3 linked regions of the Oryctolagus cuniculus genome follow. The protein of the gene in region 3 interacts with the protein of the main gene of each other region in a pairwise test. Links are inferred from orthologs where the notes say so. Each region holds a gene or a part of one and is shown on either strand. Other genes may lie near its edges.

Evidence for each region. The genes of interacting proteins can lie anywhere in the genome.
Region 1: the proteins of TRIM27 (region 3) and POLR3C interact in binary tests that used the Homo sapiens proteins (3 or more experiments, as listed by UniProt). The two-hybrid records come from large-scale screens. The link is inferred for Oryctolagus cuniculus from reciprocal best matches to the Homo sapiens genes TRIM27 and POLR3C.
Region 2: the proteins of TRIM27 (region 3) and RAB29 interact in binary tests that used the Homo sapiens proteins (3 or more experiments, as listed by UniProt). The two-hybrid records come from large-scale screens. The link is inferred for Oryctolagus cuniculus from reciprocal best matches to the Homo sapiens genes TRIM27 and RAB29.

The regions. Positions count from the first base shown.
Region 1 is NC_091438.1:49,048,824-49,052,468, reverse strand, and holds part of POLR3C (DNA-directed RNA polymerase III subunit RPC3), read left to right. Parts: intron 1-402; coding exon 403-483; intron 484-726; coding exon 727-778; intron 779-788; exon of another isoform or gene 789-851; intron 852-1,387; coding exon 1,388-1,448; intron 1,449-1,899; coding exon 1,900-2,050; intron 2,051-2,573; exon of another isoform or gene 2,574-2,626; intron 2,627-2,757; coding exon 2,758-2,859; intron 2,860-2,978; coding exon 2,979-3,028; intron 3,029-3,479; coding exon 3,480-3,629; intron 3,630-3,645. UniProt on the Homo sapiens protein: DNA-dependent RNA polymerase catalyzes the transcription of DNA into RNA using the four ribonucleoside triphosphates as substrates.
Region 2 is NC_091444.1:21,088,725-21,092,334, forward strand, and holds part of RAB29 (ras-related protein Rab-7L1), read right to left. Parts: intron 2,809-3,610; coding exon 2,737-2,808; intron 549-2,736; coding exon 367-548; intron 1-366. UniProt on the Homo sapiens protein: The small GTPases Rab are key regulators in vesicle trafficking. Essential for maintaining the integrity of the endosome-trans-Golgi network structure.
Region 3 is NC_091436.1:154,135,711-154,140,089, forward strand, and holds the start of TRIM27 (zinc finger protein RFP), read right to left. Parts: upstream 2,913-4,379; 5' UTR 2,568-2,912; coding exon 2,148-2,567; intron 973-2,147; coding exon 877-972; intron 1-876. UniProt on the Homo sapiens protein: E3 ubiquitin-protein ligase that mediates ubiquitination of various substrates and thereby plays a role in diffent processes including proliferation, innate immunity, apoptosis, immune response or autophagy.

The DNA of each region.
Region 1 (3,645 bases), on a different chromosome or scaffold from region 3:
ATAGTGTGTATCTCCATTTAGACTTTTTTTATAGACGTAGTCTAGCTTTATGTGTATATATTTCTTAAATTAAAAAAGGAGACTATACATATTGTTGTACAATTTTTCATCTGACAGTATATGTAAAACTTGTTTTATGTCAGTATTTGTAGATCTGTCTCATGCATGTTTTCATCCTCATTCTTTGTGATGGCCGTATCATTTTCCACAGAGGGCTGAGATGGCCTTTATTGCTGTCAGTTCTTAGTACCAGACATTTGGATTGTTTCTCAGTTTTTGCTGTTACAAACAATGCTGCTGTGATTGTTTCCAGACATTTTTATATTTGTGACATCTAAAATTAAGACATCTCTGTTTCAATAATTCTAAGTTTCCAACCCACTTCCTCTTCTTCCCACATAGATCTTCAGATCCCTACCTGTTGGCTATAACATCTCTAAGCAAGTTCTTGATCAGTATCTCACTCTGCTGGCAGACGATCCAGTAAGTTTATTTTTGCTCCTCCCCCCACCTTTATTCTGCTCTATTTACAATTTATTTCTGCCACTGATACTGTGTATCATTCTCCTGTAGCCCCATTTTCTACCTAGGCAGCTCAGTGTCTCCACCATCATCTGATAGAAGGGCTATCTGCTGTAGACCCTTGGCTAGATTTGCTCCATTGGGAACAGAATCGCTAGACTTTCCATTCACTTAACACTCTCTTGTCTCTTTTTTTTTTAATAGCTAGAATTTGTTGGGAAGTCTGGCGACAGTGGTGGAGGAATGTATGTCATCAGTATCCTTACCAGCTATTTCCTTCGAGTCAGGCAGCCTGAACCATGAAGCAGAATGACAGCTTAGGAGAAAAGGATATGATAATGTTTAGTATACTGAATTGAAGTAATTTTCTATGAATTTTCAATGAACCACATTGATGATAAAGTAAAAAATACTTCTAAAAAATTTAGTTTATTTGAAAGAGAGACAGATATCTCCCATGTGCTGTTTCACTCCCCAGACACAACAACTGGGGCTCACTCAGGCTGAGGCCAGGAGCCCAGAACTGAATCCAGATCTTGTACGTGGTGGCAGGGACTCAACCACACGAGCCACCACTGCTGACTCCCAAGAACCACATCAGCAGGAAGCTAGAATCAGGAACAGAGCCGGGATTCGAACTCAGGCACTGCAACGTGGGCCACAGCTTCCCTACTGCTGCAGCAAATGCCTACCCCTGAAACGGACTTATCAGCAACCAAATTGCAATCACACCAGCCCCTTACTTAAACACAATCATCGGGTAATATTTTATAACGCTTATAGGCTAATAACATTTAAATTTTAACTTCAAGTTAGTGATGACCAGGCCAAACATTAGTGAGTGACCTTAATCCTCTACATAAAGACCTCCACAAGGCATTAGCATCCCTAGCCACAGCCACTTTGGAGTCCGTCGTACAGGAGAGGTAAGGGGTCACTCTGATTGGGATTGGGATGAGACCCTCCTTATCTATACCCCACTCAAACAAGCAATTTGGCCACTATGTAAACAGCTAATATATGCACACCTTGGTACACTTTGCTCCATTTTCCCACTGGACTGTTATGGATCCTTTCTTGTTTTACCGTGTGCCTTAGCAGATCTGTTTAGTTCCCAGTGATGCAGATTAACTAGCCTCCCTAAGCCTGTGGCACATGCAAGAACTGTGGCACTCACACAAGTCAACAGTTGGTGACTACCTTACTGTGATTAACAGTACCATCGCTGTGGAGTGATGTGGAGCTGTGAAAGGAATCCGTGATCACTGTTCCTCTCTGGTCTGCCGCACACATGGAAGAGAACAATCACCATCTGTGGTTAGGAGCTGAAGCTAATATGTGTTAGCATGCACAGTTGCTTTCTTCATTCCTTTCCAGGTTTGGATCTCGCTGTGCCAGAATATTCCGTCTAGTTTTGCAAAAGAAACACTTGGAGCAGAAGCAGGTAGAAGACTTTGCAATGATTCCTGCAAAGGAGGCAAAAGATATGCTTTATAAGATGCTGTCAGAAAATTTCATTTCACTCCAGGTAACCAATGGTGTAATCACTGCCAACCTGCAAAGCTGGCCTAGGGTGAGAAAAACTCCGAAACAAAAAATATCCTGAACCCTGAAACAAGCTCTGTACCCAGCTTAGAGACAGAAGAAGTGACTCATAAGACGTAGAAAGCACGTGAAGGATAATGTGGAGCTTTAGCTGGCCTGATAGGAAGAGTTACAGCCACGAAATCACCGGAAAGCTACCCTGCCCTCTCCTCATGACTTAAATGGATAATGGATTAGATCTGTTCACAGCATTTGGGGGTGCACACAGAGCCATGCAGGAGAGTCTGTGAAGAAGCAGAAAGAACAGCTTTTGGAGTCAGATCACAGCTTAGCCTCTGCCCCAGTTACACTGAGCAAGTTACCTACCGTCATGTTTCCCATCTCTAACATGCTGATGGGCGAGGGTAGTAGGATAATGTCACCTGCTAGAAGGATCAGCTGCAACCTCCCCGGCACATGGCGCTGCTCAGTAAATGTCAGTTACCTTCCCTCTCTTTGCCACTTAGAATGCTGGAGGTGAAATGGACAGCACGCGACTAGCCACGCACCAGGAACACAGGTGCTGAGTGGCAGGGGACTGCCGAGCGTGCGAGGGAAAGGCGGGCTAGGCGGCTCCGGGCAGCAGTGCTTCTGCAGTGCCAGCTGTGAAGCGTGCTGTGGTTCCTCTCATTTTTCCCTCTTGATAAACAGGAAATCCCCAAAACGCCAGACCACGCCCCCTCCAGGACCTTCTACTTATACACTGTGAACGTGCTCTCAGCTGCCCGAATGTTACTGCACAGGTGCTACAAGGTAACCCCACTGCACCAGCTCCCCGTCCCCTCCCCCAGACATGGCTCACCCATAGGCCCCTGATCCCAGCTTACCTGTGCTACTTAACAGAGTTGTGTGCTTTTCTTCTCTTTCCTCAGAGCATAGCCAATTTGATAGAAAGGAGGCAGTTTGAAACCAAAGAGAACAAGTGAGTAGCATTTTCAGTTGAGTCATTCACATTGTTCAAGCAAAGGCCTGAGGGGAAGTTTCCAGTAGAAATGGAAGCCAACAGAGACAATAACAGTCTACAGCAATAGAGACAATAGCCAGTCTATAGCAATAGAGACAGTAACCAGTCTGTAGCGTTGAATTGTTGGCTAATGTGGGCATGCATCGTGCATTAACCTACACTTTCCTGATAGACCTCCGATGACATAATTTCGCAAGTTAAATTTATGAGAAACATACAACAGCACCAAACTGAGGGGAAGTGAGGGACAGTAAGCGTTTCAGGAGTCAAGTTACATACCCAGTGCAATGTGTAGAAGAGCAGCCTTGACCAGGAATGTGGTAAAGGGGGAAGCGGGAGCTGTTCCTCAGAGACGAGGGGTAAGAGAATCCCCGGTGTTGGGAACTCGCCTCAGAGTTGTGTCTAACAGGCGTCTACTAGAGAAGTCCCAGAGGGTGGAAGCCATCATCGCGTCTATGCAGGCTACCGGCGCCGAGGCGGCACAGCTGCAGGAGATCGAGGAGATGATCACAGCTCCTGAGCGGCAGCAGCTGGAGACCCTGAAACGTAACGTCAACAAGTGAGTCTGGAAAACT
Region 2 (3,610 bases), on a different chromosome or scaffold from region 3:
CCTTGTATTTATTTGAGAAGCAAAAAGATACATGGGGAGAGAGAGAGAGTGTCTGTGTGTGTTCCCCTTCACTGGTTCACTCCCCACTGCCAACAACAGTTGGGGTTAGGCCAGGTTTAGGCTAGGAACCAGGAGCTCAATCCGGGTTTCCCAGCTGAGTCCTCACCTGCTGCCTCCCAGGGATGCATTAGCAGGAAGTGGGAGTGGGGCAGAGACGGAAATCCGGGCACTGCTATGGTATTCGGGCACCCCAAGTGACAGCTTGACCGCCAGGGGAAAAGCCTACCCCCAGAGGACATTTCAGATATGCTTGCTCTCTGACCACAGAGAAGAAATGGGAGTTACTTTCTCACACTGGCCACAGACCTTGTTGGCCAAGAGCAGGCAGGGCACGGGCTCTCCATTGGGCAGGGTGAGCTTGCTGTCCAGGTCCTGTTTCCACCTCTGGCTGTTGCTGAAGGTAGTGGCGTTGGTAACGTCAAACATGATAACACAGGCGGAGGCGTCCCGGTAGTACAGCCGCGTCATGGAGGTGAAGCGCTCCTGCCCTGGGGAGGAAGGGCCGCCCTCGAGAAGGTGACCCCACCTGCCCACCGGCCCTTTCTTGTCGGAGAGGCCTCACCCGTACGCGACACAGGAACCTTCTGACTTGCCCTCTCCCACTCCTGGTCTTCTCTCCATCCCACAGAGGGCCTACTAAACTCAGTCATCCCCAAGGCAGACTCTGCTCCCAGTCTCCCACTCCAGATCTGGACTCAGTTACTGTTATTTGTGTGACTTGCTAAGTGCTTCAGATTTCTCGTGTGTGAAGTGAAGTCAAAAGCAGTTGCTTTGGGGCTCGTGTTGTGGCACAGTGAAAGGTTAAGCTGCCACTAGGAACACTGGCATCCCAAACTGGAGTGCCAGTCTGAGTCCAGGCTGCTCAGCTTCCAGTCCAGCTCTCTGTTAGTGCTCCTGGGTAAGCAGGAGAAGATGGCCCAAGTGCTTGGACCCCTGCCATCCCTGGGGGAGACCTGGATGGAGTCCTTGGCTCCTGGCTGCAGCCTGGCCCAGCCCCGGCTGTTGCAACCATTTGGGGAGTGAACCAGTAGACGCAAGATCTCTCTCTCTCTTTCTCTGTCACTATGGCTTTCAAATAAATTAATAAATCTTTTTAGAAAATCAGCTTTTATGATAGGGTTGTTGGAATTAATGAGTCCCTGAATTAAGAAAATTTTATTCTAAAAGTTTTTACTAACATGTAACACCTGTACATTTTATTTATTTATTTATATTTATTTTGGAAGTCAGAGAGAGATCTGCTGGTTCAATCCCCAGAACGTCACAATAGCCAGCGCTGGGCCAAGCCAAAGCCAGGAGCCAGGAGCACCCACATAGGTTGCAGGGGTCCAAACACTTGGGCATCTTCCACAGCTTTTCTCAGGCCATTAGCAGGGAGCTTGACTGGAAGTGGAGCAGCCAGGACACAAACCTGCACCCATATGGGATGTTGGCATCACAGGCAGCAGCTTTACCCACTATGCCAAAATACTGGCCCCCATTTCCTGTACATTTTCATGGGGTACTATGCAGTATTTCAGCACATGTATATAGCATAAAACAATCAAATCAGGCCAGCGCCACGGCTCACTAGGCTAATCCTCCACCTGCGGCGCTGGCACCCCGGGTTCTAGTCCCGGTCAGGGCGCCGGATTCTGTCCCGGTTGCCCCTCTTCCAGGCCAGCTCTCTGCTGTGGCCCGGGAGTGCAGTGGAGGATGGCCCAAGTACTTGGGCCCTGCACCCCATGGGAGACCAGGAGAGGCACCTGGCTCCTGCCATCAGATCAGCGCGGTGCGCCAGCCGCAGCGCGCCGGCCATTGGAGGGTGAACCAACGGCAAAGGAAGACCTTTCTCTCTGTCTCTCTCTCTCACTGTCCACTCTGCCTGTCAAAAAACAACAACAACAACAAAAAAAACACTAGAATCTAGTGCTTCTTTTACTGAATATTTATTCACTTTTATTTATTTGAAAGGCAGACAGAGAAAGAGAAAAAGAGAGGAGAATCTTTCATTCCTTGGTTTACCCACAACAGCCAGGGTTGGCCAGGTCAAAGGCAGGGACCCAGAACTGAATCTGGGTCTCCCAGGTGGGTGGCAGGACCCAAGTTTTTGAGCCATCATCTGCTGTGTCCCAGGGTGCACATTAGCAGGAAGCTAGCATCAGAGGCAGAGCTGGGGTTCAAATCCAGGCATTTGGATATGGCATGTGGACGTGGTGAGGGGCATGTCTACACAGCTATGCCAAACACCGGTCCCTAGAATCTGTTATTTCTCTCTGCGTTTTGGTACCTGTTTTCCAATCTGCTTCTGTCTGCTCTCCTCCCTCCCCTGCACCCCACCAGCTGAATTTAACATCCGCAGGAAAGTGCTTGGGGCATAGTAAGGGTCCAGTATTATCATCCTGTTTTCTGGGTTCCTTGTTTCTCCTCAGAGTCAGCTGCAAACCCCTGCTATAGGAACATCCACCCCCAGTTGGGATAGTCCACCACCTTGCTAGCTCCTCCTCCTAGCCAGACGCCGCTCCAGGTCCATCCCGGGCAGAACATCTGCCCAAGCTCCCCCTCCTCTCGGCTCCTTTCCTCCGAGCAGCCCAATCAGATAAAACCTTTCTGGTCTCGCCGGCCCGCTTCTTTTCTAAGCACTTATTGGTGAGGTCACAGGCCTTCGCTTGTTCCTAGCCGGCCTTCCCAGCTCACCTGCAATGTCCCACAGCTGCAGCCGCACCACCTCCGAGTCGGACCACTGCAGCACCTTCAGCGCGAAGTCCACTGAAACACAGGTAGGTCGTATTTTAACAGAATTTACTTTTATTTTAAAAAGATTTTTATTTACTTATTGCATCTACTTGAATGCACAGTGAACAAGCGAGCAAACGAGATCTTTCATTCACTGGTTCTATTCTCAAATGCCTGCAGCAGCCTGGGCTGGGCCAGGCTGAAGCCAGGAGCCAGGAGCTCCATCAGGGTATCCCACATACGTGGCAAGGGCCCAAGCTCTTGGGCCATCATCTGCTGCCTTCTAGGGAGTGCATTAGCAGGAAGCATAGCAGTCAGGCCTTGACCGAGACACTCCATCACGGGGTGCGGGCATCCCAGGCCGGGGTTTAACAGGCTGGGCCACAATCACCCTTCCCTGAAAATTAAAAAAAACAAAAACGACAAAACAAAAAAACCACAGGGATACACTCATATCCGAGAAGCAGTTACAACCCTGGGGACACACAATTCCAAAGCCATTCGTTTGTTTATTTTTAAGCCCTCAGTAGGTCTGAATGAGCTCAGCCTGGCATATTAAGTGGGGGACAGGGAATTCCTATTCTCCAAAGGGGTGCCCGACTTTTGCTCTCCCGCCCACACAATCCATGTGACTCCAAGGCCAGGCGCAAAAGGGCAGCAGTGATTGTGAGACCAGCCCCCCTCTCTCCGTTGAGCAGTTCCTGGGAGATTTAGGGGATTTTCTCAGAGACGATGGGGGAGATGGGGAAATGAGGTGAGGGCGCTGCACTGCATCTTCTACGTTCGGTTTTACTGCTGGCTTCCAGTCAGCCTGGCTGCAGGAGTGCTCTCCAGC
Region 3 (4,379 bases):
TGTCTCCTTGTTGACAATCCTGCCCAGAAGACAATTTTTGTGTGCACTATGATTGAAGTGGACTCAGGTTCATGAAGAATATTCTTCATCCATGAAATCTCTTTTGAAAGTAAGGGGAACTGTGGTCTCAGCAGATTGTGTGGGCAGAGCAAGTGGTGGAATCTAAGGACACCTTAGGAATGAGCTCCCTGCTTAGAAGGGACACAACTTAGAACTGACACAATTTCTCTCAAGATTCCAGACACTGCTAGTCTAGGAGTTTGCTTTTCAGATGCAAACACCTCTAATGGTTAGAGGTCTGTAACATTTTATCTATTCCACTCACATTGTAAACACTTAGGTGGTAAATATGTAAGTGTATATGATAAAACCCTCTGTACTTTTTGTTTTTCTAAAACAAAACTCCAAAATACCCATATCAGAATTAGCACATCAGGTTCCTGCCAAAGCCTTGGAAGACTGCTCAAAGAAAACAGAGCGAAAAACTCTGTTTAGAAAGGGGAATGAACACTCCAGAAAGTCAACCAGTGGGGCTGACACAAATCCATCACCAGCACCTGTGAGAAGGATAGTGCACCACAGGATGCCAGCTAACTATTCTCAAGAATTTCACCTATCTCAAGTCTGCCAAACATCAGTCCTGGCCCACAAGCAGCTAACAAGCTAAACTTTACTGATCCAGCAGGTATCTATGACTCCCAAGCACAGCTCCTCCACCCTCTCCCCAAAAGTAGGGGAGCCCCTTGGTTCTCCAGGTTAAGTTTCCACTGCCACATGGGGTTGTTTCACTTGCAACTGGAAGAACTGAGCAAGTTGGCTTGACAGAAGCACGGACCAGCAAAAGCGCTATTATCTGGGAATTCCAAAAGCCCTTACCAGGAGTTCAGCGCGTGCCTGCTCCCCCTGCGCCCGGCGCCTCTTTTTTAAGTCTTTCACCCTTTTTAGATGGTCCAGCTGGTTCTGGATTTGTTCCTGAAAAAAAAAAAAAAAAAAAAAGTTGGGCAGGCCATAGTATAACCATGGCTGTTTTGCTTCCCCACAGACAGAAACTACAATTCTGATGCCAGGTGCCTGGTGCGAGCCTGTGTTCAGACCACACTACCATCCACAGAAGACTCAAAGCACAGGGGCCACCACCTCTCTTCTATGGCAATGTGTGCATTTCTTAAATGAATCCTCTACCCAGTTTAGCATTAGGGTGACTGGACTAGGAGATTTAAAGTCAAGTTGTAGACCTTCCACAGAGGTCCACTGAGAAAATGAAGCAACTTCTCTAATTCTCCTCATGTGTGACGGGTAAATACCACTTTCCCAGCCTATTCCAGTTACAAGGAGAGCAGGTGAAATGATGCAGTTAAAAGCTCCATGTTAGGTGACTATGCAGAAATGCATTCACTTTTAAACACGGACAAAACTGTGGGTATAATCCTGTAGCCCTCAAACACATAGCAAACAGACAACATCAAGGACGCCTGGAATGTCTCCTTAAAACTCTTTTGCACGTGATACTTTGTTTCCGTGTTATTGTTTTGCTGCCGCAGTCGGTTCAACAGTTTGCAAAAGGCTTTGCACTTCTTATCCCCTTAATCATAATACCTGTTATCTCCCGTGTCTCAGGATGGCGAAATGCCTTACTCAAGCAGTGGAGAAATGTGTTCCTTTCCATGAGCTTCTAGAACAAGACGGTTTACAAGAAGTGCTTACAGACTAAGTGACGGGCATCTGCCGGATGACTCGGACACCGCGGTCACCGTCCGAGCGGGTTTCCTCTATAATTTGGGAGCAGAGTGTCTCAGGAGCCTATTGATGTGTACACAGCTTTATGCACATCTTGTAGGGTGTCGGGTTTGCGGGTGGGGGTGGGGGAAGGGCTCCAGGGAACGTCTTTATGTCCATAGCGTCCGAGATCTGGGAAACACAGGGATAGGAGTGGGGGTGGGGTGGGGCGACTTCTGGCTTCCCCAGCAGCTACAGGTTTTCCTCCAAATCCGAGTGCGGAGGCTCGGGAGCGGACAGAGAGGAAATGACGGCTGTGAACCACACGTCCGGCTCAGCCATTTTCTAGGCAAGGAAAAAAAGGGGAAGCCCCCGTGGCTCTCCCCTCCCTTTGTCCGCCTCGCTGCGCGCGCGCCGGGGGGGGCCCTCACCTTGAAGCCCTCCACCGCCTCCTCGAGCGGCAGCACGCTGTGGCCGCGGTGCTCGCGGGAGCGGTCGCACACCACACAGATGGGCATCTGGTCCTCCTCGCAGTACAGCTTCAGCGGCTCGCGGTGCTTCTCGCACACGCCCATCTCGCCGCCGGGCCCGGACGGCCTCTCGGTGCGCAGCTGCTTCACCAGCTGGGTCACGTTGGCCAGGTGCCGGTTGGGCCGCATGTGCCGCTGCGGAAAAGTCTCTCGGCACTGCGGGCACGACACGTTCGTCTCGGCCGAGCCCCAGCAGCGGGCGAGGCACGCGCAACAGATGTTGTGGCCACAGTCGAGCATCATGGGCTCGACGAAGTACTGCAGGCACACGGGGCAGGTGGTCTCCTGCTGCAGGCACTCGGCCACGCTCCCGGAGGCCATGGCGCGGGCTGGCGGGGGCGCACGGGCATGGGCCCCCGGCGCCGAGCTCTGCGCGGAGCCCGACTCTCCGGCGCTCTCTCCGGGTCGCTGCTCGAGCCGGGCGGGCGGAGGGCGGTGCCCCTCGGGCCCGGATTCCCTGGGAGGCTCCGGCGGCCGGGCAGCTCGCTGCCCTGTTGTACCCTTTGAACGAGGCCCGGAAGGCTGCCTCCCGACGGAGCCCCGCGGCTACGCGGGTAGGGGGGCCAGGCGCGCAGCGCCTCGGGCCGGATTCACAGGGGCAGGCGCGCCAGGCGCGCAGGACAACGTGGCTGCGTCCAAGCGGATCCCGCAGGCCGCGGAGACCCCGCCCCGGCGCGACCGGAAGAGGCGGGGCGGCGTGGGGCGGGGCTTGCGGTTCTTGGCCTCGGGGCCTAGCTGTTTCCTGCCGCGGAGGGCGGCTTGGCTGGGCGCGCGCCCCAGGGCGGGACGGGTCGGGACGGGACCTCCGAACCGGGCGCTGAGGACCCCTGGTCTTTTGTGAGGTTTTCTTTGGGCGCTCAGGCCTTAGCCCTTGCCAGAGAGGGCTGGCTTTGTGTAGGACTGGGAAGCGCAGGCCCTGAGGCTAGCGGATGGGGCTGCAAACTGAGCTGCATCCGGTACGTGACGCACTTTGTTAAGCAGAGCCATCATTTGCTGCCGCTCGCCGTTTTGTTTAGGGGGAAAAATGGGTGTATTTATCATTCTGAAACATTTCCGCAGGGAGAAAAACCGCGAGCCTAGTTCTGCTACTCCCTATCTCTGCTCATGCAAGGTGTTTTACCATTCTGAGCCTCAGAATCGGTATACCTCAGCAAGAAGGTAGACTTAATCGTTTAATTTTTGAGCCGTAAGGATGTTTATCCGTGAAAACCGCAAAATACCCACGGCGTAGGGTTGTTGTATTGAGCGGCACCTGAAAACCTCTTGTTCCTTTCTGAAGTTCAGAGTGCGAATCCCACAGTGCCCCGGGGTCTTGGAATCCCGGGCTGTCTGTTCTCTTATCACACAGTGGATTTCCCGTCATCCCTACTTGGTATTTGCTGGTTTCCTTGGGATTTTTCTCAGTGTGGTTTTGGGTCTCAGCAGTAGGGCCTCTGCTTCCGGAACTTCTGTTTGGAGGGATCCGAGAGGCGAAGTGGACATGCCAACCCCAAGCCCACGTCCTCTGAACCACACTCTGAGTACCCAGTCTGTGAAATTCCAGACCCCAGTAACCCTAGCCCACTTACAAAAAACGTAGAAATATTGGGCGGGGCCATACTGTTCGGAGAGTCCATTAGACCTAAGGTATTTATGCATATTTGTGCAGCTTCTCTCCTCTCTTATCTCTCTTCTCATCTGGCTGAAAAAATAATAGGAATGCCGCAAAGGTACAGTGCTTAAAGTAAGAATAAGCTGACAGATCGATGGGACAGAATGGAAATTGAGAAATAGACTAAAATGTTGGTAAGAATTTGGTATCATGTAGAGGAAAAATCAGATTGGCTCTAAAAGTTCAATAAATGATCCTGGAACAACCGGGAAGGTGTTGGGGGAGGGGAAGACTACTTTTTATTTTTACAGATTTATTTATTTATTTGAAAGCCAGAGTTCTTTCTCAAAGAGACAGGGACAGAGACAGATATTTCATCTGCTGCTTCGCTCTCCAAACAGGCGCAACAGCAAGGGCTGGGCCAGGCTGAAGCCAGGAGCCAAGAGCTTCTTCCAGGTCTCCCATGTGGTTGCGGGGGCTCAAACAGTTGGACCATCTTCCACTGCTTTGCCCAGGCAGATTAGCAGGGAGATGGATCAGAA